Linked DNA regions of Callithrix jacchus. The main gene of each other region encodes a partner of the protein of the gene in region 2 in a complex. Links are inferred from orthologs where the notes say so. Each region holds a gene or a part of one and is shown on either strand. Other genes may lie near its edges.

Region 1 (10,332 bases), on a different chromosome or scaffold from region 2:
AGGCTACAGTAACCAAAACAGCATGGTACTGGTACCAAAACAGATATATAGACCAAAGGAACAGAACAGAGGCCTCAGAAATAATGCCACACATCTACAACCATCTGATCTTTGACAAACCTGACAAAAGCAATGGGGAAAGGATTTCCTATTTAATAAATGGAAAAAGCCATATGCAGAAAACTGATACTGGACCCCTTCCTTATACCTTATACAAAAATTAACTAAAGATGGATTAAAGATTTCAACGTAAGACCTAAAACCCTAAAAACCCTAGAAAAGAACCCAGGCAATACCATGCAGGACACAGGCATGGGCAAAGACTTCATGACTAAAACACCAAAAAAAAGGGCAACAAAAGCCAAAATTGAAAAATGAGATCTAATTAAACTAAAGAGCTTCTGCACAGCAAAAGAAACTATCATCAGAGTGAACAGGCAACCTACAGAATCAGAGAAACTTTTTGTAATCTATCCATCTGCCAAAGAGCTAATATCCAGAATCCACAAGAAACTTAAAACAAATTTACAAGAAAAAAATAACCCTATCAAAAAGTGGGCAAAAGATATGAACAGACATTTCTCAAAAGACATTTATGCAGCAAACAAACATATGAAAAAAGGCTCATCATCACTGGTCATTAGAGAAATGAAAATCAAAACCACAATGAGATACCATCTTACGCCAGCTAGAATAGTGATTATTAAAAAGTCAGGAAACAACAGATGCTGGAGAGGATGTGGAGAAATAGGAATGCTTTTACACTATTGGTGGGAGTGTAAATTAGTTCAATCATTGTGGAAGACCGCGTGGTGATTCATCAAGGACCTAGAAACAGAAATACCATTTGATCCAGCAATCCCATTACTTGGGTATATACCCAAAGGATTATAAATCATTCTAGTGTAAAGACACACGCACACATGTTTATTGCAGCACCGTTGACAATGGCAAAGACTTGGAACCAACCCAAATTCCCATCAATGACAGACTGGATAAAGAAAATGTGGCATATATACACCATGGAATATTATGCAGCCATAAAAAAAGATGAGTTCACGTCCTTTGCAGGGGCATGGATAAAGCTGGAAACCATCATTCTCAGCAAACTAACACACAAACAGAAAACCAAACACCACATGTTCTCACTCATAAGTGGGAGCTGAACAATAAGAACACACTCCCCACAGGGAGGGGAACATCACACACCAGGGCCTATTGGGAGGTGGGAGGCTAGGGAAGGGAGAGCATTAGGAGAAATACCACTATGGCACATATATACCTATATAATAAAATGGCACGTTCTGTACCTGTATTCCAGAACTTAAAGTATGATAAAAAATAAAAATAAAAAGTATCACCTGGTCCAAACTGCTGGTACTCTACCTTCTTTCAGATCAATGTTGGCATTCTGAGTCCATCTACTTCTCATTTACTTTTCACTCATGCTCTTTCATTTTCATTTTGTTCTAAGCACCTATTTCTTCATTCTAGCCCTCAAGAAGTTCACTTTCATAATAATTGAAGCTCTTAGAACATAAACATCAAGTACCAGCAAAAGATGCACTTGCTTTATTTGAACAGGCATCACAGTAACAGAAAAATCTCAGAACTGGGAAAGGTATACAGGCTGTATCACTCCTCTTTTCACTGGTTATCAAATCAAATACTCCAAGCCTCCATATCCAGCCTTGCCAGCAAGTTTCCTTCAGGGCCCCTTAGCTTACTGTTAACATTACCCAGACACACCTACTTCCCCATATAATCTCCTGTTGCTCTCTTCCTGTGGAACTTAAGACTGTTTCCCTCTAGAGACACCTTAAGCGCCACCTCCTCTCCAAAACCTTTCCCTAAACTCCCCCAGTATTCTGGACCTCAGATGCAACATCCCTTACCCGCAGTTAATCTTATTTGTGCCCTATCTTCCCTATGAGCTGGGCTTATTCAGACTCACCTGTTTTCAACTGAACTTTCCAATTAAAAACAAGTGGCAAAGTAGCTGAATTAAATGAAAAGGATGAAGATATTTTTCTAAGCTAGCTATTTTCAAAATTTTTTTACTACCAAATAAAATATAGTACTTAGGATATAGCAAAGCCTCACTATTGGTTAAATGGAAAAAAAAAAAGTTGGTCCATTATAATTTGGGGGAATGCCAAGATGTTTGGATATATAGAATACATTCTATATAAACTAATAAAAGGGACAGGATGATAACCTGTAGGGCCCAGGGCTGCCCAAGATCTACGGATATGGTTTCCTTGGTCCACACAGCATTTTCAAAAAACATAAACTGAATGCTAACGTTCAAATTCCAAAATATTTTTTACATAAATGTGGATTTCCAGATTCTTTTTAAAAATTGGACACAATGGCAACACTTAGACTATGTGCCTCTTAACTAAGGCTAAACAGAAGCAAGCCTTTCCAGTCTGCCATGGTGCTACCACTCTGTTAAGCTACCCGACCCTCTTCAGCTACCTGCCTGACCTTCGAGTCATCTGAGTCTGTGATGCCTGGTATAATGAGGAAAGGAAACAGAACTCAAGAGATTTAGGGGCCAGGTCCAGTGGCTCATGCCTGTTAATACCAGCACTTTGGAAAGCTGAGGTCAGCAGATCACCTGAGGTCAGGAGTTTGAGACCAGCCTGGCCAACATGGTGAAACCCCATCTCTACTAAAAATACAAAAATTAATCAAGTGTGGTGGCACATGCCTGTAGTCCCAGCTACTCAGGAGGCTGAGGCAGAAAAATCACTTGAACCTGGGAGGTGGAGGTTGCAGTGAGATTGGGCCACCACACTCCAGCCTGGGCAACAGAGTGAGAAAGTCTCAAAACACATACACACACACACCCAGATTTAGGTCTTAGGTCACAGTGGCCACAAACTGGGAAAATAACCCGCATCAAACTTTTAGGCCTCAGGTTTCCTATTCCTGATTAAAAGTCTGGTCCTGAGATTTTATGAGTTTCCCTTTCTAGCAGCCACTGAAAAGCAATTGCTGAATTTTCCTTCCTAATTCACACTAGAAGCAGTGACATAACAAGCCTCAATATGAAATGTTCTCAAAGCACAGTGTAAGAAAGCTAGCACCACATTTCACTGTTCAAAGAAGTTACAAATGGCAAGCTGTTTTATAAAGCTTTTGGTGGACTTGCACCACCACACCCATATTTTTGTAGTTTAATATTTTTATTTATATATTTAATATTTTTTCAATATTTTAATATTTTAAATATTTATATTAATATTTTTAGTGGAGACAGGGTTTCACCATGTTGGCCAGGCTGGTCTCAAACTCCTGACTTCAAGTGATCTGCCTGCCTCAGCTTTCCAAAGTGTTGCGATTTCAGGTGTGAGTCACTGTGCCCAGTGGACTTAAAATATTTTTAATAGAAAAGTTAAATCAACTTTCTTTATGGCTATAAACGTACCCATTGTCCACTAGATAACTTGGAAAACACAATCAGTAAGTGTGATTTAAGCAGAGTTTTCGTGTGTTTGTCTCACCAGCAGTTTACTACAATGCAGCACTCCTCTAAGGGCATTACTGAACTCTGTGAAGTTTAATAATGATACTAATAAAAGTATTTAATAGACCTCTATTGAGCACTTATACTCCCTGTACTATAGGTAATGTGTCATATGCATTACATTTTCATTATTGAATCCTTACAACAACTCTATAAGAGCACAGGAAAATTATTATTTTTCTTTTCATTTTATGGAGATGGCACCCGAGGCTCAGAGAGGTTAAGTAGCGTTTTCAAAGTCATCCCACTGTACACCAAAGCTAGGGTTCACAGCTAAGTCTGTCCGGCTATACAGCCACTACAATGTATAAACTCTTAAACCTACAGGAAAATAATGCCTGCTGGGGTAAAAATCTGAAAACGATGACAACGGAGAGAAAAGTTTTTAAAACATTAAATAGAAACAAAAGCTAACATTCTGGCTTTCTTTTCTACTCTCTTTTTTGTCTTTAACAATGCAGATGATACTAAATATGTAATTTCCCAGTCTTTTCACTTTTAAAATCAACATTTTCTCGTCATGAATGTACTTGCAGTTTATAATTTAATAACGTCATTACATTAACATTAGCTTTTTAGTATCTCTTATTATAAATGATGCTCCAGAGAATATTTTTGAGGAAAAGTCTGCCTGTACTTTTAATTTTTCCAAATGATAAACTTCTGGAAAGAGATGGCAAGAGTTGGGACAAAGTGCCAGAGAAGAAAAGTTTTCTAACAAGCCTGCCTTTGGATACTGGCCAGCTCCCTGGGATGAGAGTTCCAGAGCCCAAACAGGGTAAGGAGAAAGACCACCCAAGGAAGGGGGAAACAGAAGATTGGTTACGTATGGGGCATTGATGTAATACCTAAATACATTAAGAATGATGAGAACCAGGTTTCCCATTGCCCAAAGGGAGATACAGATACGAGCAGAGACAAAACTAGAAAGCATCCTGCGTTTGATTCGAAAGGTTGCACCTGTGTGAACTCATGAGTTTCCACACAGAAATATAGTTGTACACATGTGTATACATATATGCTGATTATATACACACATATGCATGTATATACATATATTCCTTGGCTCTAATGACTGAGCTTTGGAGCAGCAAATCCTTCAATGGCAAGGAGTACATTTAGAGAATCTAGATCTTGATTGCTAAATATCACACTCTATCAAAAGGAGCCAGGGTTTCATGGACAAATGGCCAATGCCAGGACCCAAGCAGGTAAAACCCAAGACAAGCTTAGAACACCTTGTGCCAGACAAGTGGTCAAAGATAAAGGAGTCATCTCTAAAGACAATGAGGTCAGCCTGAAGGAGCTCCCCCTAGCCAAACTGGCGTTGGGGGTCCGGGGTAAACTGAACACTAAAATAAATACTCACAGTAACAGATTATATCCCACTGAAATAAGACTTGGAGAGTGTGTACAGATATAAATAAACGAATAGGAAACACGACACTTACATAGTTTCAAATTATCTCTTCAAAAAACACTTAATCATTACAGAAGTGATTTTAGTGAAGAGACTTGGCCGGTACAACCTTAATCGAGTAATCAAAGGTTGTATCACCAATAAAGAGACAAATGGAAATCACATGCCACCTAAAGGATGCCGTGAAAAGAGCACAGCATGACTTCTGTGATTATTTCCTGCCAAACCTAGTAAGAAACACAACCTAGTAAGAAACCTCACACACTGCCAACTGATGGATGTTCTACAAAATAGCCTGTAATTTTCCTAAGTGTCAGGCTTGGGAAAAATCAAGCAAAGCTTGAGAAACTGTTCCAGATCAAAGGAGATTAAAGAAACATGACTTATTTAGAGCAACTTGCAATTGAGAACAGACCTTTTTTGCCATGAAGAACCTTACTGAGACAACTGGCAAAACCTGAACCGAGTCTGAGGATAAAACAGACGAAGTCTATCAGTGATAATTTCCTGATTATGACGGCTGCACCGTGGCTATGTTTGTAAGCCGCAGGAAACTAAAAAGAATGACAGAGCATCAGATTGGCACTTCACTGTCAAATGGCGCCCTCCCACTCCTCAGAGAGATGGTACACCCTGCAGCCCCTCTGACTCCACAGTCCGAGTCTTTACCTCTCCAGGTATTGGCTCCCCTTTTGAAGTTGGGGGCCAGAGAAGCCAAAGAGTACAGGATCGGGAGTTGAAATATTTGGCTTTAAGTTTTGGTTCTTGGCTTTCTAGGTGTGCTACACTGAGCAAAACACACCCAGTTGCCTTCCCAGTAAAACAGACACAACAAAAACTTGCTTCAAGGGAAGCAGGTGGAGATAAGGTTCTGCACATCGTTGTTGTTAATGGAAACAACGGAAACAATGGAAAATGTGGATTATAAGGCACAACATTTGATGAACGGTCAAATAAATCATGACACATTCTTACAGTGTAGTCACTAAAACTAATGTTCACAAATTTTTTTCACGGCACGAGATGTTCCTTGAATTAACAAAACTGGGATTAAAAAAAAAAATAGTTCTCAAAGACTGAACCACCAACCTGCAATTGACTGTGCATGACACCCCTTGCTACTTGCCTCAAGCTCCTCGGCTACCACGCGAACCAAGCAATGCCTCTCCAGGTGGCCGGCATCCGCCAGGCCTGCGGAGATCCAGGTCAAGCTCCGATGGGTCCGCAACACTCGGCGCACACACTCTCTCCATAAGCGGCACACGCTGGGGACGCAAACGCACAAAAGATCGCGAATGGACGTTCATTTTCGTCTCTCCCACGGCTCACAAACCCCCACCTGCAGGCGCAGCAGCAAGAGATCTCTGCGGGAACCGAAGCCCCCGGGGGAAGTAGGTATCAGGGCGCTGGTCAGTTGTGGAGAAAACCTTAAGGGGAACTTCACTCCTCAGGGAAGTCCCGGGGGCTCTACAGCTGGAAGATACCTCGCGGGTGGAGGTCACCTCAGTTAGGGCGAAGGAGCCGGGGGTGGTCCTGGGTCCCCAGGGTCTCTCCCCACCCCGCCAGCCTGGGATATGCCCACAGCGTGTCCCGATGCAAGCTTCCCGCCTCCCCTCCTCACCAGGCCACCCGCAGCAATGCCTTGGCGGGTAGGAAGGTGAGCACACGCTCCACCACCTCCGCCAGGTTACTCAACACGAAGGTGCTCCGTGGGTCTACCGAGGAGGAGCCGCAGCTGTCGCCGCAGCCACCCACCGGCTCCATTCCTCACCAGCCCGCCGGAACCAGTCCTACGGCGGCTCGGAGGGACCCAGTTTCGCCGGCACACGATTGCCCGGCCGGCGCGCACTGAGCAGGCGCCCGCACCACTTCCGCCTGACGGAGAAGGTGGGAGTGGCAACGCGGGTGCGACCCCTGGCCACCGTGTTTCCGGTGCAGGTCCTGGAGCCCTTGCTCTGAAGTTGAAGTTATCCGTCCCATAATACGCCCGAAATTTTTTTTTTTTTTTTTCATTAAGATTGGGTCTCGCTGTGGCAAGGCGGGAGTGGAGTGGCGCGGCCTCTGCTCACTGTAGCTTCTACCTCCCAGGCTCAAGCGAGCCTCCTGGCTCAGTCTCCCTCGTAACTTGGACTACAGACTCCCGCCACCATGCCCAGCTAATTTTTGTATTTTTTGTAGAGACGGGTTTCGCTGTGCTTACCAGGGTGGTCTCAAACTCCAGGGCTCAAGCGATCCTCCCGCCTGCGCCTCCCAAGATGTTGCAATTACAGGCATGAATGAGCCACGGTGCTGGGCAACTTTCTAGGAGGCTTCCTGCAGTGAAGATAAATTCTTTCTCTGTGCCTCTCACTTCCCCGGCACCGCCATATTTCTGAGCCTACATCTTTCTCTAATTCACAGATTCCTTGCAGGGACTAGGTAGTACTTACCCCAAAGCCTGTTTAAATAGCATAAACTCAATTTTTGAACTGACAGCGTTTGCTTTTAAAAAATTGTCTTAGTGTGTGAAAATCACTGCCTTTATTCCTTGTAAACTTAATTAACTCGTTGTCATCTTCAGGTTTAAAGTTTTGAATGAGTAAAATGGCATAAATAGCACCTGCCATTCTAAGGAAGTTAAGTAAGATAATTGCAGTGAAGCACGCCCCAAGCTGTGCACCAGTTCCCCGCCAGTAACATCTGATTCACCTGGGAACTATTAAGTTTTGGCACGTTCCCAGTCCTTAACCCCGACCTCCTGAATCAGACACTGGGGGTGAGGTCCAGCAATCTATGTTTTAACAAACTTTATAGCGATTCTAATGCATGCTCAAACTGAGAACCACAGAAGATATGGAAGCACAGCAGACACGGGTGCGTCCCCACCGAACATCCATTTCTCCCTCCAATTCCTTCCTAAGGGAGCCCTGATTTGATCGCCAGAACTTGAGTAGAAACTTGGTCTAAATTAGCGGTTCTCATTATTGCCTCAGGACCCTTTACGCCTAAAATATCCACACGACCAAATAGTTTTGTGTTACGATTATCAATATTTACCATATTAAAAAAATTAAATCATCTTAATACTTTTAAAAAACATGTTACCCCTTAACAAAATATTTTTGTGGAATTCAACTATTTCCCAAATCTTCCTTCCCCCCGCAACTGGTAAATAGGGTGACACTGTCACTGGTATAAGCCTCTTGAACAGCTGTGGCTTTTTTTTTTTTTTTTTTTTTTTGGTAGACATAGAGAAAGTTCTCTCTGTTGCCCAGGCTGGTCTCTAACTCCTGGCCTCAAAATATCCCTCTGCCTCCACCTCCCAAAGCGTTGGGATTCCAGGTATGAGCCACCAAGCCCAGCCAGTTTTTTTTAAGTCTATAGGCACAGCTACTTAAGGAAGCCAGGTGGCCTAGTTATCACCAAAGCTTCCTGACCCCTTGCCAAATACCAGAAGATAAACAGGCAACCTCCAGTTACCTTTGGATCATTAACATTATAATGCTGAAATCCTCTCCCCTGAAGGAAGATCACTGGCATCTTAGCAGCATGTTCAGGGACTGGGCCTGCTTGTCTGCAACTCCAGCCTGCGCATGCCCTTCATACCACCGCCCCCCTCGCCCCCCGCTAGGCCAACTCTTTCAACTCCCCCGCCTCCCATCCTTCTGGAAAAAGGTGCCTTTAGAGGGTTAGCTCCCCTTCTCCATTCTCTGGCTACTGAATGAAACCCGATTGCCATTCTGAGTAGACATTCTTTCTTTGTGGCTGATGTAAAGTAGGGAAAGAGGACAGTTTATAGTTCCTTCTGTCTTAAGACAGGTAGATTCTCTTGTTTGCTTCTGAATTCAGTCTGTTGCAAAATTACATCACGTAGCCTCTGGAAAACTCCATTGTACACTCGTGAAGGAATGAGTGAAAATAGCAAATGTTTTAATATTATGAAAATAGTCTTTTAAAACTTAAAATTGTCTCAGGGGTCTCCAGTGTTCCCCACCAAATCACACTTTAAGAACCATTTGTGCAACTAATCATGATGGTTTCATTCTTTTCACCAGCCATTGGTTTGGGGGTAGGCGCAGGCCCCTGATCTAACCAAGGAAAAGTGAGAGGCAGTGTGCTTGATGGGATGGTGCTTTTAGAGATTTCCTCACCTCCTAAGGAGATACTAAAAGGCAGGCATTATCTGTCTCTGGATCAAGTAATGTGGCTGCATATATGCCACCAAAAGATGAAACCAACATAGAAAAAAATCTCAAGGAAGCAGAGCAAAACCCATATGTACAGTTACCTGGAGTTGTCCTACCTCTGGACTTCTTGTATGTGAAATAACCTGTCAATTGTGTGCAAGGAGGCCATGGGTACACTAGAGGAGGAGCAGATTATTGTAACTGTGGGAACTAGGGATAGTCATAAGGAAAAAGTAGCACTTGAATTTGTAATGAGAATGGAAGAGAAAAAAAGGCTGAGGAAAAGGTGACTATACCAAGTGTGTACAGACCATTTCTAGGTTCTTTCACTTTCTCTTGTTAAATCTGCCTGTCTTAGCCGGGCACAGTGGCTTATGCCTGTAATCCCAGCACTTTGGGAGGCCGAGGCGGGTGGATCACGAGGTCAAGAGATCGAGACCATCCTGGTCAACATGGTGAAACCCCGTCTCTACTAAAAATACAAAAAATTAGCTGGGCATGGTGGCGCATGCCTGTAATCCCAGCTACTCAGGAGGCTAAGGCAGGAGAATTGCCTGAACCCAGGAGGCGGAGGTTGCGGTGAGCTGAGATCGCGCCGAGCCGAGATCGCGCCATTGCACTCCAGCCTGGGTAACAAGAGCAAAACTCCGTCTCAAAAAAAAAAAAAAAAAAAAAAAATCCACCTGTCTTCCAAGCCTCCTCTTACCCCTTCCCTCCTTAAATATCTTAGTCCAGAAACTCAAGAGAGCCTACAAACACATCAAGCAGTTTTTTTATGTGGGAAAAATGACAAAGTACTTTTTTGCTTGCTATGATCAGCACAAACAAAATGTTTAAATAGTTCTTTATTCATAAACTTGATGCAAGTTTACAAAATTTACTGTAGATTGCCAAATAAAATCTGCAATTAAAAATAAAATCCATAAAACAAAGCATGCCAAATGTGCAGCTATCAATCTGCTTGCCATCAAGATATTAAAGAATTCAATAATGTATTCAAGATTTAGCCTTAGGTTTAAGGAACTTTAATGCTTTAAAGAATTCTGCCTTGTCACTTGTTATCTGAGCAACTGGCACTCAGAACTTCATACAAATGTAACCAAGTGAAAAAGACACCAGAAAATCTATTTATTGCCCTCTTAACCAAAATAGAATCAAAAGAAATTAAACACACCTATAATGTAGAAGTGCCAAGTCTCTTGGATGTCGTT
Region 2 (10,240 bases):
AACTAACGACTTTCCTAAGGCATTTAGAAAAGCATTTACATTTATCTTCCAAGTAACATGACCTGCAAACAATTTCAGCTACATTAACGTAACATTTTCTAAATTGTGTAGGTACTGAGAAAGGAACCAGCTGCCAGACAATTTCACTGCATATGCTCATACAATGGTCATCAACAACCAAGGTTCTGGCTACCACTATTTCTTCTTCCTCATGTTTGCTTTGGGGCACTTTTCTAACCTGTCCCTGATCCTAAACAAAGAATCTGTTCTAGAGGAGTGATGACATTCAAAGTATTAGACATATAAGACATTTTTATCTAGAAAACCAAATTATATTTTGTTCAACTCAATTCTAAGCCAATTATGAGTAAAAATAAGTCACAAGTTTTATGTCTATCTTAGGAGATGAACTAGAATGACTTAATTCCAGCTGCTTCCTCAATACTTATACCAATGATAAAAACAGAAAGTAGAAAGCTAAATAATCAAAAGAATTTCAACTCAGTGCAGACTTACAAGGTACAACACACAATGTTCTCTCCTCTAATCTGTTAAACATTCCCAAGTTTCAAAACCACAGAACTAGAATGAACCCATATCATACCACCTAGTCCAGCAACCAACAGTTTATTAAAGAAACACAGCCAAACAGAAAGACACAGATTCTCACCATCAGGAAACTTACACTGTGGTTGAGAGAATGGTCAAAATAACACGACCGTTCTGAATTACTAACAGGTACCAGAAGCTATATGAGAAACATATCCACTGTATTCATATCCATTTCATGGATAATTTTTCTATATTATTATAGACATATCATCTAAAGAAAACAAAATAATTAGAAGCAACTAACTGGCAAACAAATTTACATTCCAAATGTTTCCAACAAACATTGAATATGTACCCAGGAATATGTACTGAGAAACTAGTTCTGTCCTGGTATTAAGCAGGGAGGGGTGGACAGGTTACCAAAGCTGCCAGGCCACAATGTCTTCAACTACAACGTGGAACAAACTAGGCAAAGGACGGCAAGTGTTTCAATTAACTGGTTAGTGACCATCTCAAGCATTCCGCTGAAACTGCTAGATTTCTTTAAGTAAAAAGCTATGTCCTGTGTTCCTTGTCCTCAGAAGTTGGGTGTATGTTTGAGATGTGGTGCTACTGCCTTAACATAAGAGTGTTCCCAAAGTTGTTTTTCCAGTAGCAGCAACCTGCTGCACTCCTCAGTCTCATTTGTGATTAATGACTGCAATTCAGCCCTCAGCAGCTATAAAACATTGCTGTGTAACTAAGTACTTCCCTGATTCTGAACAACAGATAATAACATCTCACATTTATTGATGTTTCTTATAAAGCTGGCACTGTTCTAACCACTTAACCTGTATTAACGCATTTAATCCTCACAACAATCTCTCTGATACAGATATTACTATCACCATCCCTGTTTTACAGAGGAAACAATGAGGCACTAGTTACCAGGAAGAAGAGCTTGCCCAAGGCTTCAAAGTGGGTGACACAACCAGAACCTGACCTTAAGCAGTCTGGCTCCGAATCTACTTTTAACCATTCTGCTTACTGCTTCTTTGTCAACTAAACAGCGATCAAACCCACGACTTCAGTTGTTAGTGCACTGCACAAGCCAGATGCCCGGGCTTCGGGGTAGTGTAAGTCAATATTTTATCTGCAGTCCTGAAATTTTTACTCTCTCCAACGGGCCTGGATTCTGGCGAATTGCGTTCATATTGCCCATACTTTGGACATCAGTACATCACCCCATTTGACATATACTTTAAATCAAAACAATCTCAAAAATCAGCACTCCACCACATAAAATAAACCCTCTGTTTAGAATGCTCAGGAAATGCAGGTTTTAGGGGTAAGACAATTCTCTCATTAACAGAACATTAGTCAGAAAATTAGGAGGGAAGTGGTGATTCCTAAAACATAAGTTATGGAGAGATCAGCACTATAAAGAGAGGCTCTGACAAGCGGTAATTTTAAAGGGCTTTGCAATTATTATTCTGAACATCATCTCTCACAGTACAGGTGTGTAGAAGGCACATGGCACATGAGATTCAACTGAATGATAAATACTAACCACCCTCATCCCCCCACCACCACCACTAGTAGGAAATTGATATTCTGAATAAATGCCACTTACCATCTTCATGAAGTGGGTGTAAGCTTGGGGGAAAAAAAAAAGAAGACTTCAAGGAGTAACAGTACAAAGTAATTTTCACAAAATTTGCGATATACATATTACACTCCAATGTGTAGATTATCTTCAAGTGTTCCATTGCACCTTTTTACATATCACTGCACTTCAGATCAAGTACATTTAAACAAACCAACTGTGAGCTTGTCTCCAAATTCAATATAGAGGTTATCAAATGAAATTTTGTATTTTTTGTATTTCCATCCCCAATATCCACAATGTAACAAGAAGTTTATACTCAAGCTTCTAATCTTTAAAGTAAAATGCACAGAGAATAGACCTATAAAACTTAAATGGAATAATTAAGAACATTTTGAAAGAACTCTTAGGAGGAAACCATAAAAGAAAAAGCATTCTAGTTGTTGAAAAAATGTTACTGACGGTGATGAATGGACTATGCTCCCCAATAAAAAAGAAGTGGGCTCATGTACACACATTATATAATATGCACATAATGTATCTTCAAGCTTAATGTCTTTCTTAAAAGACATTTTAAAAGTTTTAATATATTATTTCCAAGTGAACCTCCCCTGCACCCCACCTTAGAGGCACTAATACTTAAAAAATTCATGATTTCTAATCTCCTCTAGTCCCAGACTTAAAGTAACAAAATAAATAGTTTTTCCCAATACAAAATGTTTTAAATGAACTACCATTAGTAGAAATCATTTTTTTCACCAAAGGTAAGGGCCAAATTCCCAGCTCTACATTTCCCATTCCTAAACTGTGTGTGGGTTGTGTGCTCCTTTTTAAAGCAAGAAGCAATGACACAAGGTGTAAAGACAGTAGTGTCATACAATCAAGACAATGAGACAGGTATATATGGTTGGCCATTCATTAAACAGCTCTTTCCAGACTTGACCCGATACAACCTGTTAATTCCACCCATATTGCGCTTACCCTCCTCTGACTCCTGAAATTTTTTGTGTATGCATAAAAAGCCAAGGGCCATGAAAAACAGAGCAACTCCGCTCTGTGTAGTGAAGCACAAATTAGGCTCACTGCTTGAAACTTATAGACCACATAACAAAACCACAAAAAGGAAATTCAGTCCAGTAAGAGTAGTAAATATTTTTGTTACAATACTGTTTATTGGATTACTCCTAGCTGCCAATTTCTTCCCAAGTTTTGGCTCTCTCCAGTGCAAATTTATTCTCAGACTTCAGCTAACAAGGCTCTGTGTTTAAACACCACCTCAGTGCTACTGGCCACTGCCTAAGAGTGCTCTTCCACTTCACTGAATACCTGTATCAAAACAACCCAGCTGGGTCCCCTTCAGCCTTCTGAAGCAACCCCTCTAGAGCGCTTCTTGGCCTGTTATAGTGGAGGCATGTGATTAGAGAATCTGCACCAGCTGTTTCCAATTACCTCTCAAGCTGGGGCGAATGACTCAGCAACCCAACTTTTTTAGAGTCATCCTACCTTGTTAACCAACCAACATACTCAACAATAGTAAACCACTTGACAGAACCATGGGTTAAAAAACAATACAAGAATCAGTACACCAAAGCTACTCTACTCCAAGCTGACTCACCAGGAACCTTTTTTTCCCTGGGCTACTTTAAGATGTCCAAAGGCAGAAGTGGCAAGTGCCTTCTAGCCCAGCCCAGCCCTTGCACCACTACCCAAAGACCAGGAAGGAAGCCGGCCTCTTCCCATTTCTCTGCTTGACTACGTGAAGCGCTCAAGCGCTGTGCCACTAACACACTGGGATTTCCACCCTTTATCCTTCTGAATTGCCTTCAATGCAAACCCTCTGGGATGTAAAGAGGGTTCAAATATATGAACAAATTCCCATAGCATCCTCCATGGGCAACAGTCCCTACACCTAGATAATTCTTCAAAAAGCACAGCACCCTACAAAAACAAAAACAGTCTTTGTTCCTCCAAGCATGACATTGTAGCTTGTTCTTCCCATACACGTTCTTTCACAATTACTACTACACTTTACCTGGAATCAGCACACATTTTACGCAGAAGCCTCACTCCATAAAAGCATTCCGCACAATTCTACTCAATGACATGCAACAGCCGTGTAGAATGAGAGAGCAACGGCACTCGTGTTACATTACCCGAGCACAAAGCTGGTGTCTCCAGAATCAACGCCCACTCTCACCATATTGTGCGAGGCTTAATTACAAAGCGTGGGCAAAACTCCAACAAAGGGAGTCCTGGGATCTCCGGTCCCCAAAGCCAGTCTTCGGTAAATCTAGCTCAACACGGTGGCCTTCTCTCCCCTGCCCCAAACTCGGCCTTTCTCACGCGACTGCACGCGCGACAGGCACCAGGCTGGGGAAACGCGAGGCTGGGCAAGCGGTGGGAGGTGACGGAGGACAATACGGGGCCCCAGCCTCGAGGGCGGTGCTGATGTGTCACTGCCCGAGCGGGCCGCGGGCGAGGGGCCGGGCTGGCGCCCGAGGGCGGGGAGAGGGGGTGAGGCAGGGACCCCAAGGCCACCGGCCCCCGCCCGCCCCGAGTAAAGTACGGCGCGCGCGGGTAAACAACAGCTCCGGCCGCGGAAGGAGGTTCGAGCGCCGACGGGACGCCCCTTCCGGCGTCACGGCCACTTCCAGGACTCGGACGGCAGGCACCCCCCCCCCGCGCCCCGCCCAGCCCAGAAAGAGCCGCCCCCGGCCCGCCCGCGCCTCCCCCGGACCTGCCCGCGGGCCTCCCCTCACAGGCCCGCGTCCCCGACCGCGCTAACCCTCCCGGAGAAGGCCGGCAGGACGGCCGAGCCACTCACCAGAGCTGAGGCGCGGCGCTGCCCGACTGACTGCAGCGAGCGAACCCGGCGGGCGGCGAGGGCAGCGGTCAGGTGACTCACTCCTTCCGCGCGGCCAGCCGCCCCCACCCTTCTGCGCCGCTCTGCCGCCGCCACCTCGCGGCGCCAAAACCCCGCCCGCCAGCTGGAGGCCCCGCCCCCGGGGCCGATGCCCCGCCCCGCTGCCCTCGAGGCGGCTGTCAGCGAACGAGCGAGCGCGGTAGCGCCGGCCGGGGTCGCAGTGGCCGGAAGCCCACGCGGGGGGTTGCAGGGAGGGGTTGTAAGGGCCAGGACGGGGCGGGCCTCGGGGAGGGGGCGGTGAGGTTCCTGGACCTCCGCGCGCTGCACAGCCCGCAGCCTGAGCTGACTTCCACTCGAGGACCGACTCTCCTCTCCCTTCTGAGGGCAGGACGGAAAGCCGAGCGCCCCCTTGTCCCAGGAACTGCAGGACGCCCTAATGCAGCAGAGGCGCAGCTTGCCAGGGTGCCCGCGGACAGCAGGAGGGAGAACGGGCGCTGGCCCCACAAGGCTCGCTTTACCCCCTTGAAAGCCCCTCGGCTGCCTGCCCTGGGGGTGGCGGACGCCCAGCTTCACAGGGTACTTGAGCTTGCTGGTGGGCACATGTGAAGTGCGTCCAGGTTTTTGTGGAGAGCGTCTAACAGTTGCTCTACTTCTGACTGTCAGTGAAACAAGGGCGCCCAAGACAGGTGTTCCCTTTTCAGTGTCGCTGCCAGGAAGCTTCCAGCCAGGTTCAGCGCCCAGTAGTGTCAGCCGGCCCATCTCGAGCCTGGGTTCCACTGTCATCTTTTGGTGCTTTTTCTGGTGTTTATCCAACTGTCAGTTTTAAAATTATGTTCCCAAGCCATTTAACACCTCTGGGGTTCAAAGCACGGGCCGTCAGCAGAGAGGGGTGCACGCGCAGTGGAGGGGTCTGGGCACGCCAACCCCACAAGGGTTACAGCGAGATGGCACGGACCTTGAGGCCTGTAGCCAAAGGACGATTTGTGTGAAGGGATTTTGTTGTTAGCTTTGGAGACAGCAACAAGAAGACAGCCCTGGAGTTCCTGGGGCAAAAAGGATACCAAGATAAATAATCAGGTATTAGCACTAACACGACCGCATTTGCACCCACAGGCTGTGGGACTTGGGGACGTTTGAGTTACCTCCAAAATACATGAGAAAAATCACATACGTGAAGTTGGATGGGAGTGCAAGGGGTGAAGTGATACATTATGACCTAGAATTACGGGGGGGGGGGGGCGGTCCTGGAGGAGGTGACATTTGCATTGGGTCTTAATTGGGAAGAGGAACCCAGCAGTCCAGAGGTAAGAGGTACTTCACATCCCAGGCTGCCTGAGTTCATGGTGGAAGTGCAGATACTTAGTGAAACACGAGGAAAGGACACTTGGAAACACACCATGAAAGAAGGATTGGAGTTCTTACAGACACATGGGAGTGTCCGAGGCTTTATTCTGCTTCCACCCTGAGTCAGTGGAATTACAGTCTTTTTTTTTCCTACACCTATGCAGTTTCTTCTAGGGGAAGATCAAACCCTCCACTTTGGGAAGAACTCTTGCTTTAGATAATAGCAGTGATATTTTCTAGCCTGAAAATTATGATGTATGCCCTGATACGTTTAATTATTTGAGAAGTTATCACAAAGGTATACCAATGTGCTGAGAGTATCAACACAGGTGAGTGACTCTCAAGCTTCAGTATGGGTAAGAATATCTGGGGGCCTTGTTAAAATGCAGATTCCTGGATCCCACCCCCCAAAGATTCTAATTTTGTAGATCCGAGTAGGCCTACAGATCTGCATTTTTAATACTGAAGCAGATGGTCTTCACATTTCACTTAAGTACTAAGTTAGAGATTATGGCACGTAGTAGGGACAGGACAAAAAATGAAATTGGAGAATGAAATGAAACTGAGTCTGTATGAGAAGGGCCTCATGTGTTGCACCTGGAGTTTGGACTTTATCCCATGGGCTGCAAGAAGTGAGTTGGGGTTTTTAAGTCATGTGGTTGTTTTTAAAAGCTAATTCTGGCGGGGCGCGGTGGCTCACGCCTATAATCCCAGCACTTTGGGAGGCCAAGGCGGGTGGATCACGAGGTCAAGAGATCAAGACCATCCTGGTAAACAAGGTGAAACCCCGTCTCTACTAAAAATACAAAAATTAGCTGGGCGTCGAGGTGCACGCCTGTAGTCCCAGCTACTTGGGAGGCTGAGGCAGGAGAATTGCTTGAACTCAGGAGGGGGAGGTTGCGGTGAGCCGAGATCGCGCCATTGCACTCCAGCCTGGGTAACAAGAGTGAAACTCCATTTCAAAAAAAAGAAAAATGAGAAAGAAAAAGAAAAAAAAAAGCTAATTCTGGTATTGAGAAGGAATGGGAGTGAAGGGAGTGGAAACAGATTGTAGGCTGAATGAAGGAATGAATGAATGATGATGCTCAGTAAAAGATGTGGCACTTTTTGTTTTCAGTATTCTCTTGATTTGAACCAAAACCACTTATAATATATTTCTTTTAAAACCTGAATATCAGTGTAAATATTCACAAACAACTGTGTGTCCTGACCTATGCCTTCTGGACTTCCAGAGTTAGCATTAACATTATTAGCTACCAGGCCAACAAACCTTGAGTAATCCTACTGTACACAGACTCAAGAAAAAAGGCTACATCACTGGTCAACTTTTAAGAACATCAGCCTCAAGATCTTTTACATTAACTCATACATTTATTAAAATATGTTACTATAACAGATTTTTAAAAATTATCTTGGGGTTATAATGAGACGTGATTCTGCTCAATTCCTATTGAAGAAAAAATATTTAGATTTGGGGACTAAGAAAAATTGTGATTGCTTTTTTTTTTTTTGCTTTTGCTTTTTTGGAAACAGTCTCTCACTCTGTCACCCAGGCTGGAGTGCAGTGGCAAGTGATTTTGGTTCACTGAACCTCTGCCTCCCAGATTCAAGTGATTCTCTTGCCTCAGCCTCTTGAATAGCTGGAATTACAGGTGCCCACCACCAGGCCCAGCTAGGTTTCATATTTTTAGTAGAAACGGGGTTTCACCACATTGGCCAGGATGATCTCCAACTCCCAACCTCAAATGATCCACCTGCCTTGGCCTCCCAAAATGCTGGGATTGCAGACATGAACCACCATGCCCAGCCGATTTCTTTCAATTGGTATTGATAATAGTTTGAAACTGGGATGAGTAGACTAGTGTTGTGGTCTTTCTGTTCCTTACCTCAGCTGGGTCCAAGTTCTTGTCTCACAACCGGGAAAAATAAGGGTCACATACACTAGAGAGTGAGTAGAATGGAACTGATTAAGTGCAAAGAAAGCTCTTAGCAAAGAGGAAATGTGGGGAGTGGTTCCCCTACCCAAAAGTGGGAAAATCCCCTCTCATGTGGCTGAACCTGGGGCTTTTATGCACTCAGAATGGGAAGTGCATGATGATTGGTTTGTGAGCACACAAAAACAGGTTAAAGCAAAGACACCACTCAAAGGTGGACAAAACAGTGTTGAAAGCCAATTAGAAAGGGTAGATATATGTGAAATAGGTGAAGGGTGGGAATCAATCAGGAAAAAGCATGCCAAACAGGAAGACAAGTTCTCAGTCAGGTCTGAGGATTTAACTTGCAGCTTGACTTGCAGGCTTTAAACTGTCTTCAGCTTGGAGGTGGGGTTTCACCGGGGACCCACCCCTAACTGTGTAGGCGTTTGACTGCCTCCTGATGCTATCACTAGGAGCGCAACATAAAGATGCTGTGCTACCGTTTCACAGTGATTTGCAGTCAGTGCTTGTTTTGTCATGTAGTTTTGTTTTTAGTGCATTATTCTTTAGGAAAATTTATCCATGAAGCTTGGACATCACAGCTTACTGCTGTGTCCTTGATTTGTACTTCTCATTGACTGTGACAAGTGACGGCCAGTTTTTCTGCTGTGAGCAGGTTTGTCGATATACAATACTATTCACAAGATGTTATTATATATGTGCATAGTCACATTTCTTTCAAAAATGATATTTCCAATTTTTCCAAACATACGTATCCTCTTTCTGACCATCATACTGATTTTATTACCAAAATAAAATCTTATCGTTAAATTAACACTGAAAACAATTTAAATAACTATAAACCACAGTTAAGGAATGATTTTTAGTAAAAGCTAGATATATACACCATCATTTTCTCCTCTAATAGCAGGTTGCCTTGCCTGGCTCTCAGAAATGAGGGAGCTAAATCATACAGATAGGTGATGTATTCATGGCTATAAGGAACACAATAGCATAATATTTGGACAACGAGACATAATACATATCCTGGAAAAACTTTGATGTGTAATCAGTATAACCCTTGTCCCCTCTGTCCTCCTCCCTAACCTCAGGAAAGATCCACACATCCACATTTATTCCCCACCCACTTTCAGTTTTGAATCCTCATTTCCACAAATGCAACATGACATCTATAACTCCTACAAATCTGTAGAACCTCTACAGCCTCCCCAAAACTTCATTCCCTCCATCTTCATTGCCGTAGCTCCTTTTGTCTTTAAGTATTCATTCACTAAGTCAATCAACAAAATATTGGGGGTCAAAAAAAACTAGGCTTTAAACTTGTGGGGGATTACCAAGATAAAACAAACACAAGTCTCCCCACTTGAAAACCTGCTATTTGACACCTGTATCCCAAGATGTGATTATGGATTGAAATCATAGCACCTCTGCCCCCAGGTTGGAAGGTTTTATGGAAAATGAACATATTTTATTAGAAGACAGAACTTCCTAGAGCAGATGAGTAAACACACCCTTGTGTTTACTTGATAACTGAAATCAAAGATAAGGTGTAGCCTTTAGCTTGAAATGTTACAAAGTCTAAGATCAAGATACAGGCAGAAAAACGAAAAGGAAAAAGCCAATTTTGAAGCAGAACTCAGCAGGATGGGCCAAATCATGAAAGAGGTGCTGCTCAGATACCAGATTTAATGACGACCAAAGTGGCCCAAATATGAAAAACATATATTGTGCTTCTGAAAACCGGTAGGAAGTTTCAGTGGACTAAAGATGGCCACAAATTCTTATCATTTTCCCTGTCAAGAATGGAAGTTTTTCATCATCTTGAATCTGGTTCTGTGACTGCATATCCAAGAAGACGCTGCAGAAGTGATGTTCTTCCAGTTCTGGATCTAGTCTTTTTGAAGACTGTCAGCCTCCACTTCCTCTTTCTTCAAATGAGCTCTCTTGGGACACCCTCTC
Region 3 (10,118 bases), on a different chromosome or scaffold from region 2:
GGTCACTTGAGCCCAGGAGTCTAAGGCTGCACTTCCATTTACATAGCTATGAGCTATGATCACACCACTGCACTCAAGCCTGGGTGACAGAGACCCTATGTCAAAAAAAAAAAAAAAAAAAAAAAAAATCAAAGGCTGGGCATGGTGGCTAAGACCTACAATCCCAGAACTTTAGGAGGCTGAGGCTGGCGGATCATGAGGTCAGGAGTTCAAAACCAGCCTAGGTAACATGGTGAAACCCGTCTCTGCTAAAAATACAAAAATTAGCTGGGCATGGTTGTGCGCACCTGTAATCCCAGCCACTTGGGAGGCTGAGGCAGGAGAATTGTTTGAATCGGGACCCAAATAACTGTATACTAATAAATTGGTGAAACAGATGACAAGTTCCTAGAACACAAACTATAATAAACTGACTCGAAACAGTAAATCTGAAAATATGTACACCATGTAAAAAGAGGGAATGTGTAATAAAAAACAAAAAACTTACAACAAAGACAAGGACCAGATGACCTCACCAGTAACATGCTTAAATAAGAATAAACACCAATCTATCTAAAATTCTTCCAAAAATGAGAAGATGGGATAATAGTTCCTAACTCATGCTATAAAGCCAGGCAAAGATATCTCAAAATATTACAGACTAACATCCCTTATGAATATAGATGTGAAAATCTTCAATAAAATATAAGGAAACTAAATCCACAGTATACTAAAAGGATTATACATCATGACCAAGTGGGATTTATCCCAGGAAGATGGTTCGACATATGAAAAAAATCCATGTGACAAACTGTATTAATAGAATAAAGGCAAAAAACAAAAAACACATGATCATCCCAACTGATGCAGGAAAAAGCAATGGACAAAATCCAACACCCTTTCTTAAAACATTCAGAAATAAACTTCCTCAACCTGGGAAACAGTATCTACCAAAACCCCAAGTTATCATTATACTTAATGGTAAAAGAATAAAAGTTTTTCTCCAAAATCAGAAACAAAACAAGGATGCCTGCATCATGACTTCTATGCAATACTGTACTGGAGACTCTGACCAGGGCAATTAGGCAAGAAAAATAAATAAAAGGCATCCAAATTGTGGAGTTGGAATTAAAATAGCCTCTATTCACAGATGTCATGATCTTATATAGAGAAAAATCCCAAAGAATACGAAAATTAATTTTAGCACTAATAAGCAAATATTTTTATATACTAGCAATGACTCATCTGAAGATGAAATTAAGAAAGTACTTCCATTTACAATAGCATCAAAAAGAATAAAACACTTTTATAGCTTCAATTTCTTCATTGAGATTTCCAATTTGTTGGGTAAATGTCATTATATTCTGTAATTATTTAAATAATGCTTCCTTTCTTTTACCATATTTATAATAGTTTGAAGTCTATGCTAAGTCTAATATGTAGGCTTACTCAGAGTCAATTTCTATTAACTGCTTTCTTTTTCCCTTAGTATGGGTCACATTTTTCTGTCTCTTTATGTCTCATAATTTTTTGTTAGAAACTGGACATTTTAGATAACAGTCAGTGTAGAATTTTATATTTCTGAGCCTTTCAACATGTCTGGCCTTAAACTATGAAATCTGTGTTCTGGGCAGTGTGAATACGTCTGTTTAGATTTTAATTCACATATACATGTTTTATCCTGGCTTTCTAGGGAAGTTATCCTGTGTCTAAATAGCTTAGTTTTTAGCTATGTATATGCCAAAGATATGCTCAAACAGCTTGAGCCTGCTCTTCAATCTGTGTTTGGGTTAAGAAGGGCACATTCAAAGCTTAGAGAATTCTTATCTGCCTTGAACCTTGCTCTCAGTTAGACAACCTCAGGTATCCCCTACACATGTGCACAGTTTCACAATATGACGGGATATGTAGAGATTATCCCTTTATGGTTCTCTCATTTCCAGGGTCAGCCTTTTAATTTATAGCTAGTCTTCCACTCATCCCAACTGACACTACAACCTTAAACTAGAAAATATATGGTTTCTCCTTGTTTTTCCCTACCAAGTTCACTATATTTTATCGACAAAGGTTTTTACTCATTGCCCCAAATTGAATCAGCTCTCTGACAGCAAAGCTGCTGGTTTTCCAAACTACACTTTTTGCCAAAGGTGCTGGGGCAAGAGGTCATAGTAGGGGCCCATGCAAGAATGCTGTAGACTTGGGCTATTCTTACCTGAAGCTCTAACAGTTTTCCTAAGAATAAATGTTTCTCAATTTTTTTCCTTGCTTTTAGTTGATTTCCAGAGTTCAAATAGTTTTGGGCAATTTTGCCAGTTTTATACTTCTTTGTGTGTGGAAAATATTCACCAAACTCTTCAAGCAGGCACAGGTCAAAGTAAATTTCTTGTGGATATTTTTATGCTCATCCTCCTTATCTGACACATGAGAAAATAAAAACTTAGGGGGCCTAGATCATTTTTTAAGGTTAAAGGACTAAATGGTCTTGAAGGGCTAATTTGTCAGTTAACAATCAACACATAGGCATGGTCACTGGAACCAAGTAGCATCTTGTTTTAAACATGCTATTATCTTCTTTGAAGGTTAGTTTCCTTTTTTAAAAAAGTGAGACGGCTGTCATAAACCAAAGATCATTGACTAAATCCAGATTTGTTTTGTTTATCCAAGTGAAGAAATTTAAGATGTGGGTAATAAGCATAAAATAGGATATTCTGCCAAAGCTAAACAACTTTTGAAAGAAACTATTATATTAAAATGCATTTTTGACTGTTTTAAAGCACATCATATTTATTAACCTATATAGAGGAGAAAGATTCTTGTTGACATTGAGCCACAAATCGGCCTCTGATATAACACAGTTTAGTTTTTCTCCTCTGCCATACCAAAAAAATTTAAAAAAATAAAAAACACCACTGGGCAAGCACGGTAGCTTTCCTCAGAAACATCTTTTTAATTTTTAAACATCCTCACATTTCTCTCCCAAATTCTACCTGCCTCATTTTTTTTTTTTTTTTTACAGCTATAAAAGCAATACAATTATAATAGCTATGGACCCACTACCAAAACAGGGCATAATTTCAGAGAATGTTTTCCAATAGTGATGATGGACTTGTGCCTCTTCATGCAACAACTCTTCTAATATCAGAAAAAAATAATTGTCATAGCTCCTTAAGTCTTCCTTTCTCCAAGTCAAACAACTCCAGTCTTTAACAGAAGCAGAGCCAAAACCCTTTCACCACCACAAGGCTCTACTGTGGCTCAAACTCTAGTAAGAATATGGACATTCCCTAGAAATGTCTCTTCGTAGTGTGGCATATCACCCCGAGTTTCAGCACAGACTCTAAACACCTAAGCATACATTTGTTCTTAAGTATTTACTGAGTGCTACTATATGCCAAGCACTGCACTTAAAGGAGGAGAAAGCAATGAACAAGATATGAATCCTGAGTCTCTACCCCCAAAAACTGGGGTTGGCAGACACTGAACAATCTCTAATTCAATTCATCCCAGATAGTACAACTCACTTCGTGCTGAATACCACTAGGACCATGAGACTCAGACAGAGAATCTTTATTAGAGTTTTCCAATACAAAAAATGGAAATCTACAAAACATGTCCAAATACACACAAAAGGGTAAGCCCATGTAATTCCCAAATGTCCTTTAGACAAACTTTTCAACCACCCACAGGGAAAAATATGAAAAAGAACAATGCAGAATTCATAGAATAAATTTATTTTATTCTATTAGAGTTTCTCCTTATTATGAGACGTCCTTCCTTTTTTTTTTTCTTGATATTAAAATGTTTTTTTTACTTCATGAAATAACGTTTTAAGTAGAAGGTACCTGGCTTTGTTCTGGTTCATTCCGAAACAGTCTTACTCGTCAAGAAGGCAGCAATCAAACTTCTACACCAAAAATTTGTTGGTATTTTATTTACCCATATCATCCAGTGATTTAAAGGACTCAAGAAAGTTCCCTTTGTCCTAAAATGCTCCTCTGCACACAAAGAGTAAGCAATTACTCTTCCAACAAGTATACCACCATAAGAATTAGATTATTACATCTTGACACAAGGAAATGTAAGTTTTCCCACTCTCTTGCTGTATCATTCACAAGAACATTAGTACCACAGTAAAACAGACCCAAACACACAGTACTGTAAATATGCAAAAAGTCTAATCAAATAAACCATGTTGGTGACAATAACAATTGTAATTAAAGTTACTTCAGTAATATTAAAAGTAGCCAAATTCTTAACAAGGTTATCTATGGCTAGTCTCTAGTATCATCCACAATGAAAATAGTTTATATTTATTAAGCCCCAGAAAGGGTGGGGTGAGAGACGGCAGAAAAAGAGGAAAAAAGTTAATAATAACTTAATAAAAACTCTATTACATAACTAAGGTTGTCACTAGCATTGACAAAACTGCAAAATATGGTAGTTGAAAATGACACAAATTTCATCCAGGACACCTACCTCTACTCACTGGTCTCCCAACAAAAAAATACATCTGTGCTACCTCTGGTAATCTGTATGCTTTTACGTAAGGGTTAAAATGTAGGAGGGCATTACCACATAGTAAACAAAGGAATTTTTAAATCAAGTAGTCTTAAATTACCTCGTTCAAGACCTGGATCTGCCCTTTACTTTCTGTATGTGACCTTGCACAAGTCATTCAACCAGTTCAAGCCCCACTAGACTGTCAGCTCCATAGGCGCTAAGACCACTTCTTCCTGACTCACTACTGTAAAAACCCTGCTCCACGGCACGGAGAAATCAGTTTCTTCTTGTATAAAATAAATATATTAACAATATATTTATCTCGCAGCGTTAACTGGATAAATAAGTGGGATACTGTATATATAAAGCTCTAGCGCAGTGCCTGATTATGGTAAATGCTCAATAAAAGTTAACTGTTTGACATTAACTACCAGCCATTAAACCTGAAAGTAACGTCTGAACACTTCCAAACACTGATATGCAAAGCCTTTACCCACTAACTATAAATTCCTCAATTGATTAAAAACAAATTCCCTCCCCCCCGCCCCCCACAGAATGCCTGCGAAGTTTCTAAAACACTGGGTTGGGATTCTAATAATAGCTGAACCCTGAAGGGTGGGTTATAGAGTCAAGCTATGAAGACATTCAGTAGACTCCAAGTGCTTATACTTCAAAAAATAGGCCACAGGCAGAGGACCCACTGGCTTCCCAGTCTCCGGTTCGGACGTCCCTCGGCTGTCAGGGAACCCCCCCTCCTCCGCGCTTAGGGGGAGGAGAGAGAAAGCCTCGGAGGCGGGGGCCCGGGGTGGGGGAAAACGAGCATCCCTGCGCCTCTCGCCCAGACCCACCTTGAGCAGGATGGACGGCGGCAGCTGGTTGATGTCTGGGGTTTCGGGGGGCGGCTCCCTGTGACAGTCGCAGGGGTTTTCGGGGGGCTCCAGACAGTCCGCGTCGCCACATTCACGCTGCTGCTGGGCGGACGAGGGGGCGGTGCCCCCGACTCGGACAACGTCCCCGCCAGCCTCGGTGGGAGCACCTTCGGAAGTGGGAGAAGAGGGCGGGGGGCAGAGCGGCTGCTGGGGCTGCTCCGGACCCTGGCAGCAGCCGGCGTCGGGGGGTCTGGGCGGCGAGGCGCCTCCCCCGGCAGGCCCTCCCCCACCGCCGCCGCCGCCGCCACCGCCGCCGCAACCCCCGCCGCCACAGCGGGGCTGCTTGCAGGGGGTGCAGGCGGGGACCCCGGCCCCCTTCCGCTTGCACACCATTTCGAGGGGCGTAAGGGGCTCGGCCGGCGGCGGCGGCCCCCGGAAGAGCTGCACAGCGGCGGGCGGCCCCAGGAAACGCACCGGCCCCAAGCTGGCCAGGAAAAGGCTTCGGCCCTGCTGCTCCCAGGCGGCGGCCGCAGCCAGCCCCAGCTCTTTGCAGCAAGAGGCGGGCGACGAAGCCGAGGCAGCAGCGGCGGCGGCTGCGGCGGCCGAGGATAGCAGGAAGCGGCGGGCGGCTGCGGCGCAGTCCTCGGCGGCCAGGGCCGCGTAGCGCCGCGCCAGGTGCTGAGAAGAGGAGGCGGCGGCAGCGTAGGCCCCGTCCCGCGGCGGCGGCGGCGGCGAGAACGGCGGCTCCTCCTCTGGGCCGGCGGGGGCGGGCGCGCCGGGACTGTGCACGATGAAGCAAAGCATGCAGGGCCCGCGGAAGAAGCAGTCCCGGCTCCGGGGCGCCGCCGGCTGAGGGGGCACCTTGGCTGGGGTCCGGCGGGGCAGCCTGAGGAGAGGGCGCCGGCGGCGGCACCAACTGCAACAGCGAGGCCTCTTCTGGCTCGGGCGGTTACGCGGCTCCTTCGAGAGAAGGTGGCCCATATAGAAGGCCCCGAGGAGGGGCACCAGGACGGGAGGGAGGGAGGCCCAGAGAGGCGAGCTCCCGGCAGCGGGGCAGGCCGCTCGCTGGCTCGGCCTCCGGCCCGCAGCGGGGTCGCCCGCTCTGCGCACACACACGCACACACGGGCACACACGCGACGGTAGGGGGGTGGGCGTTAGCCGCGGGCCGCCGGAGTGCCCGAAGGGGGCTACATGCTTTGCCCAGAGAAGCCGGGAGAACGATGGGAGCGAGCTTTAGGGACGCGAGGGAGGGAGGGAGCGAGCGAGCCTGCCGGCTAGGCGACCAGTCGGGCCCGGTCAGCCGGCTCAGTCAGTCAGCGCGGCAGCGGGGGCAACGCCGGTACCCGCTCGGACCATTTTAACTGCGGCTCTGCCGGCGGCGCGCGCGCCCGCGACTCTGCTGAGAGCCGCAGGAGCGCGCGGCCCATTCCGGCAGGGGCGGAGCCAGTTGCGGCGGCGCGCTTGTGGCTAGGACGCCGGCGCCCAGCTGCTCAACCGGGACGGCTGCCACAGAGACACTGCGGGGAGGAGGCCGGCCGGCGAGGGCTCGGGACTCTGGGCTCACGAGGTGCGGCGCACGCCCCTCCCTCCCGCCGCCTAAGGTTTTTTCCGAGCCTGCTGGGCGTGCGCCACGTTTCTGAGGCGGGAGGAGACACTTCCGAGCCTGCTGTGTGACATCCGTTTACACAGCCGCGCTGACGTCCGGAGGTGTAAGTTCAAGAGCTGCCATTGGCCGGGAGCCCCTTGGCTTTTCCCCTCACCTTCCACCCCCATCACTACTCCCGACTCGGAAACTGAGGCCTCTTCGAATCCACTAGGCGGGTTCCGCCGGAAGGGCCTGTGCGAGCCCTGACCGCTCGGCGAGCGGAGTGGCAGATGCGCGGCTCCTGGGTGATGCGCACCCAAGTCGTGTGAGGGGTTAATTGGTTGTACCGCACCACTGTTTCCCCACTTGTTTTCGTACTTGTTGCGTACTACTTCCTTTCCACAACTTTATTTCAGAATGAAAGCATATATCAAATTACCCATATACAGCTGAAGGATAAGCAGTTTCCTCATCCAGTGAGCCATGCAACACCCAGGCTACAAGCTGTAGATAGCTTCATTATCTGCACCCTCGGAATCCTGTCTAGTCATATATTACGTATTTTAAAGATGAAGGTGCAGTGCCTGCTGTATGACAAACCTTGGTGATCCCGGTTAGAAAGAGTAAATAGCTGTGCCGGCAATCCTTTAGAAGGTTTAACAATATCGAGGTTAACTTTCACGAGGGAAAAATTGGAGGAGGCAAATACCGATGGGAATGAGCCACTCTAATGAGAGAAATAAGGGGAGAAGGTGGAATGAAGAGTACTTAGGAAGGATGCTTTTCTTGATTGTGATTACAGAGAATGAGGAGAGGTGAATAAAGGATGGATACAGATAGATGTATGGTTTTTTTTTTTTTTTTTTTTTTGACAATGGGAGTTAAACTTGTTATAGGAAATATTGCTTGGCAACTTATGAGAGACCAAGGCTATCAAGAAGGCAAGATGGATGTTTCTAACAGGAAGGTGAAAGAGTTCTTTCTTTAGGTTCCATTTTCCTTTAGATAGAGTTTGTTTACCTGCCGAAGGGTGGAAGTGTCAGGTGTTTAAAAAAAAATCTGCTAAGGATAACTTGAGAGTTAACAGTGGCCAGCCCCACCCAGCCTCCACTCAAACATGCTATCAAATATTTGTTAATTCTGTCCTCTGTCAGAAATGACTTTAGTCTTAAGTCTGTCATGTTCAGGTATCCATTTTTCAGAGCCTAATGACAGTGATGTGGAATTCCAAGAACCCTGGAGGCGATATATTTGTCAAAAGGTTTCACCTACATATTATCAAATGCATTGCCTGAACTACATTTACCTACAGATAAAATCCACATAACTTTCTTCCATTTGCCTGTAGGGTATCTTCCTGGGCCCCAGGGCAGTGCTTGAGGCCTTATAACAGATCCTTTGACATCTCTACTAGGCTGCACTTTGACCAAAGGCAAGAGTATTATAAAATGTTTTGTTGCTTTATGTCAAAAATGTGAACCTGTCAGAACCAGTTGTAGTGCTACCCATCATTCAAGCTGCAGCAGGGGAGGCTGAGGGATGAGGATTGCTTGAACCCAGTTTGTTATGGTTATGCATGTGAATAGCAACTATACTCCATTTTGAGTAGCATAGTGAGTCCCAGTTTGATTTAAAAAAATGTGACCTATCTATTTCATATAAGTTAAATGCACATCTGCCCTATGAGCCAGCAGTCCCACATCTAGGTATTTATCCAGAGAAATAAAAGCATATATCAATAAGAAGACTTGTACAAAAATATCCCTAACAACTTTATTCGTGGTCACCAAAAATGTCCATCATTAATAAGGCAATATATTCATCTAATTAGATACAACTCAGCAACAAAAGAAAAAAACATGGATGAGTCTCAAAAACTTAGGATGATTATTACTTTCTGGAGATGAGGCCCTTGAATCTCTACCTGCTTATAACAAGCTCCCTATATGATTTCTGTACAGACAGCCTGGCACCATGCAAATATATCAGAACTACACACACCATCCAACTTCAGCTTCGTGTTTTTAGAGATGAAGCAACTGACTCTGGGACTTCTGAAGTCGTTGACAAAATTTACAGTATTCGTTTTCTTACTCCCAATTTCTAAACCATTTAGCCACAAGCAGATTGTCTTTGGTCTACCTATTGGACTCTGCAGACAAATAATACCTGTTTTTTTTAGTTAAGATATTTTGCATGTCTGTTCTCATCACCCACCATCATCATACCACTAGTTCTCTACTATTATCAGGAGAGCCACAATGAGTTTTGGAACTCAGTACCCTAAATAATAGTAATACTATTGTAAATGTTAAAGATACAAAATTATGAATAAGAGTCATAAATTGCAATTATAGGGACAAATGTAACAGCTGATAGCTTTGCTTGTTGGGGGACAGAGGGAGCTGGGTTGCAGTGGGAACCAACCCTGGACAGCTTGGAGCTGTACTGGCACTATTAGCTGTGTATTTGTGGTACTGGCAGCTGTCTTGGCATTCTTAGTTCTGAGTGTTTTATCAAATATAAACAATCTCACAAAACGTCAATATCGGTTATCGTCTCTCTGTGACTGTAACAGACAAGACAAAAATAAGACCCCTTCATAATCATGTCTAAACACACCAAATAGAAGCACAGTCTCTAAACTACAAAGATGACCAAACATTCTGGTTAATATAAGTCACCACCGCTTCTTGACCAATTACAACCTTAGTCTTGCTCCATTCTTCCTGCCTTCTAGATAACAAATATTAAAATATTCAATTACAGGATTACCTGTTTCCTGCCAGCATTCAATCCAGAGCAAAACCTTGACACTTCCCCAAAATCACCTAACCCAAGCTGAAATGTTTTTCACAATACCAATACCCACTTACGGAGAGTGCCCCCCACCCCCACCCCCACCCCTTGCAACGAGTCATTAAACCCAGCTTCATTTGACTCTAGGTGTTTTCCTGCTGCTTTTTAGCTGAAGGGCATTAGCATTTATTATAATCAGATGTCACCAGCCTATCTAAAGTGACTCCCTCCTTTACCCTTTCCTCTTACCCTGTTGTTATTTTTTTTGTAACTCATTGTCACGTTTCAAAAAATTTTTGGTTTGTTCCATTATACCATAGGCTCCATGAGGACAGGAATTTTGTTCAGTATTCAGGAAGATAATCAGGCTACTATGTAGAAGATG

What was found. Proteins that work in one complex are often made in the same cells at the same time.
Region 1: the proteins of BACH1 (region 2) and FBXO22 are in contact, whole or in part, in a cryo-EM structure (PDB 8S7D), measured with the Homo sapiens proteins. The link is inferred for Callithrix jacchus from reciprocal best matches to the Homo sapiens genes BACH1 and FBXO22. Residues at the interface, in NP_001177.1 of Homo sapiens: Ser7, Val8, Phe9, Ala10, Tyr11, Glu12, Ser13, Ser14, Val15; in NP_671717.1 of Homo sapiens: Asp366, Gly371, Asn372, Phe373, Ile374, Leu375, Arg376, Lys377, Cys378.
Region 3: the proteins of BACH1 (region 2) and FBXL17 are in contact, whole or in part, in a cryo-EM structure (PDB 8UAH), measured with the Homo sapiens proteins. The link is inferred for Callithrix jacchus from reciprocal best matches to the Homo sapiens genes BACH1 and FBXL17. Residues at the interface, in NP_001177.1 of Homo sapiens: Val20, Leu21, Ser23, Leu24, Gln27, Val32, Leu33, Asp35, Phe39, His48, Arg49, Ser50, Val51, Ala53, Ala54, Cys55, Ser56, Ser57, His60, Ser61, Arg62, Val64, Asn72, Thr74, Pro76, His116, Asn117; in NP_001156787.2 of Homo sapiens: Asp395, Arg421, Asn447, Gln473, Gln498, Glu499, Met524, Arg548, Cys574, Leu575, Tyr598, Val600, Ser601, Asp623, Trp626, Met651, Arg652, Val676, Gln678, Asp679, Cys680, Arg682, Thr683, Glu685, Gln689, Trp692.

Annotation. Positions count from the first base shown.
Region 1 is NC_133509.1:25,090,588-25,100,919, forward strand, and holds the start of FBXO22 (F-box only protein 22), read right to left. Parts: upstream 6,748-10,332; 5' UTR 6,720-6,747; coding exon 6,577-6,719; intron 6,221-6,576; coding exon 6,082-6,220; intron 1-6,081. UniProt on the Homo sapiens protein: Substrate-recognition component of the SCF (SKP1-CUL1-F-box protein)-type E3 ubiquitin ligase complex that is implicated in the control of various cellular processes such as cell cycle control, transcriptional regulation, DNA damage repair, and apoptosis.
Region 2 is NC_133522.1:35,355,845-35,366,084, reverse strand, and holds the start of BACH1 (transcription regulator protein BACH1), read right to left. Parts: upstream 5,019-10,240; 5' UTR 4,291-5,018; exon of another isoform or gene 4,170-4,290; intron 2,188-4,169; 5' UTR 2,165-2,187; intron 1-2,164. UniProt on the Homo sapiens protein: Transcriptional regulator that acts as a repressor or activator, depending on the context. Binds to NF-E2 DNA binding sites. Plays important roles in coordinating transcription activation and repression by MAFK.
Region 3 is NC_133503.1:101,702,476-101,712,593, reverse strand, and holds the start of FBXL17 (F-box/LRR-repeat protein 17), read right to left. Parts: upstream 6,748-10,118; 5' UTR 6,330-6,747; coding exon 5,328-6,329; intron 1-5,327. UniProt on the Homo sapiens protein: Substrate-recognition component of the SCF(FBXL17) E3 ubiquitin ligase complex, a key component of a quality control pathway required to ensure functional dimerization of BTB domain-containing proteins (dimerization quality control, DQC).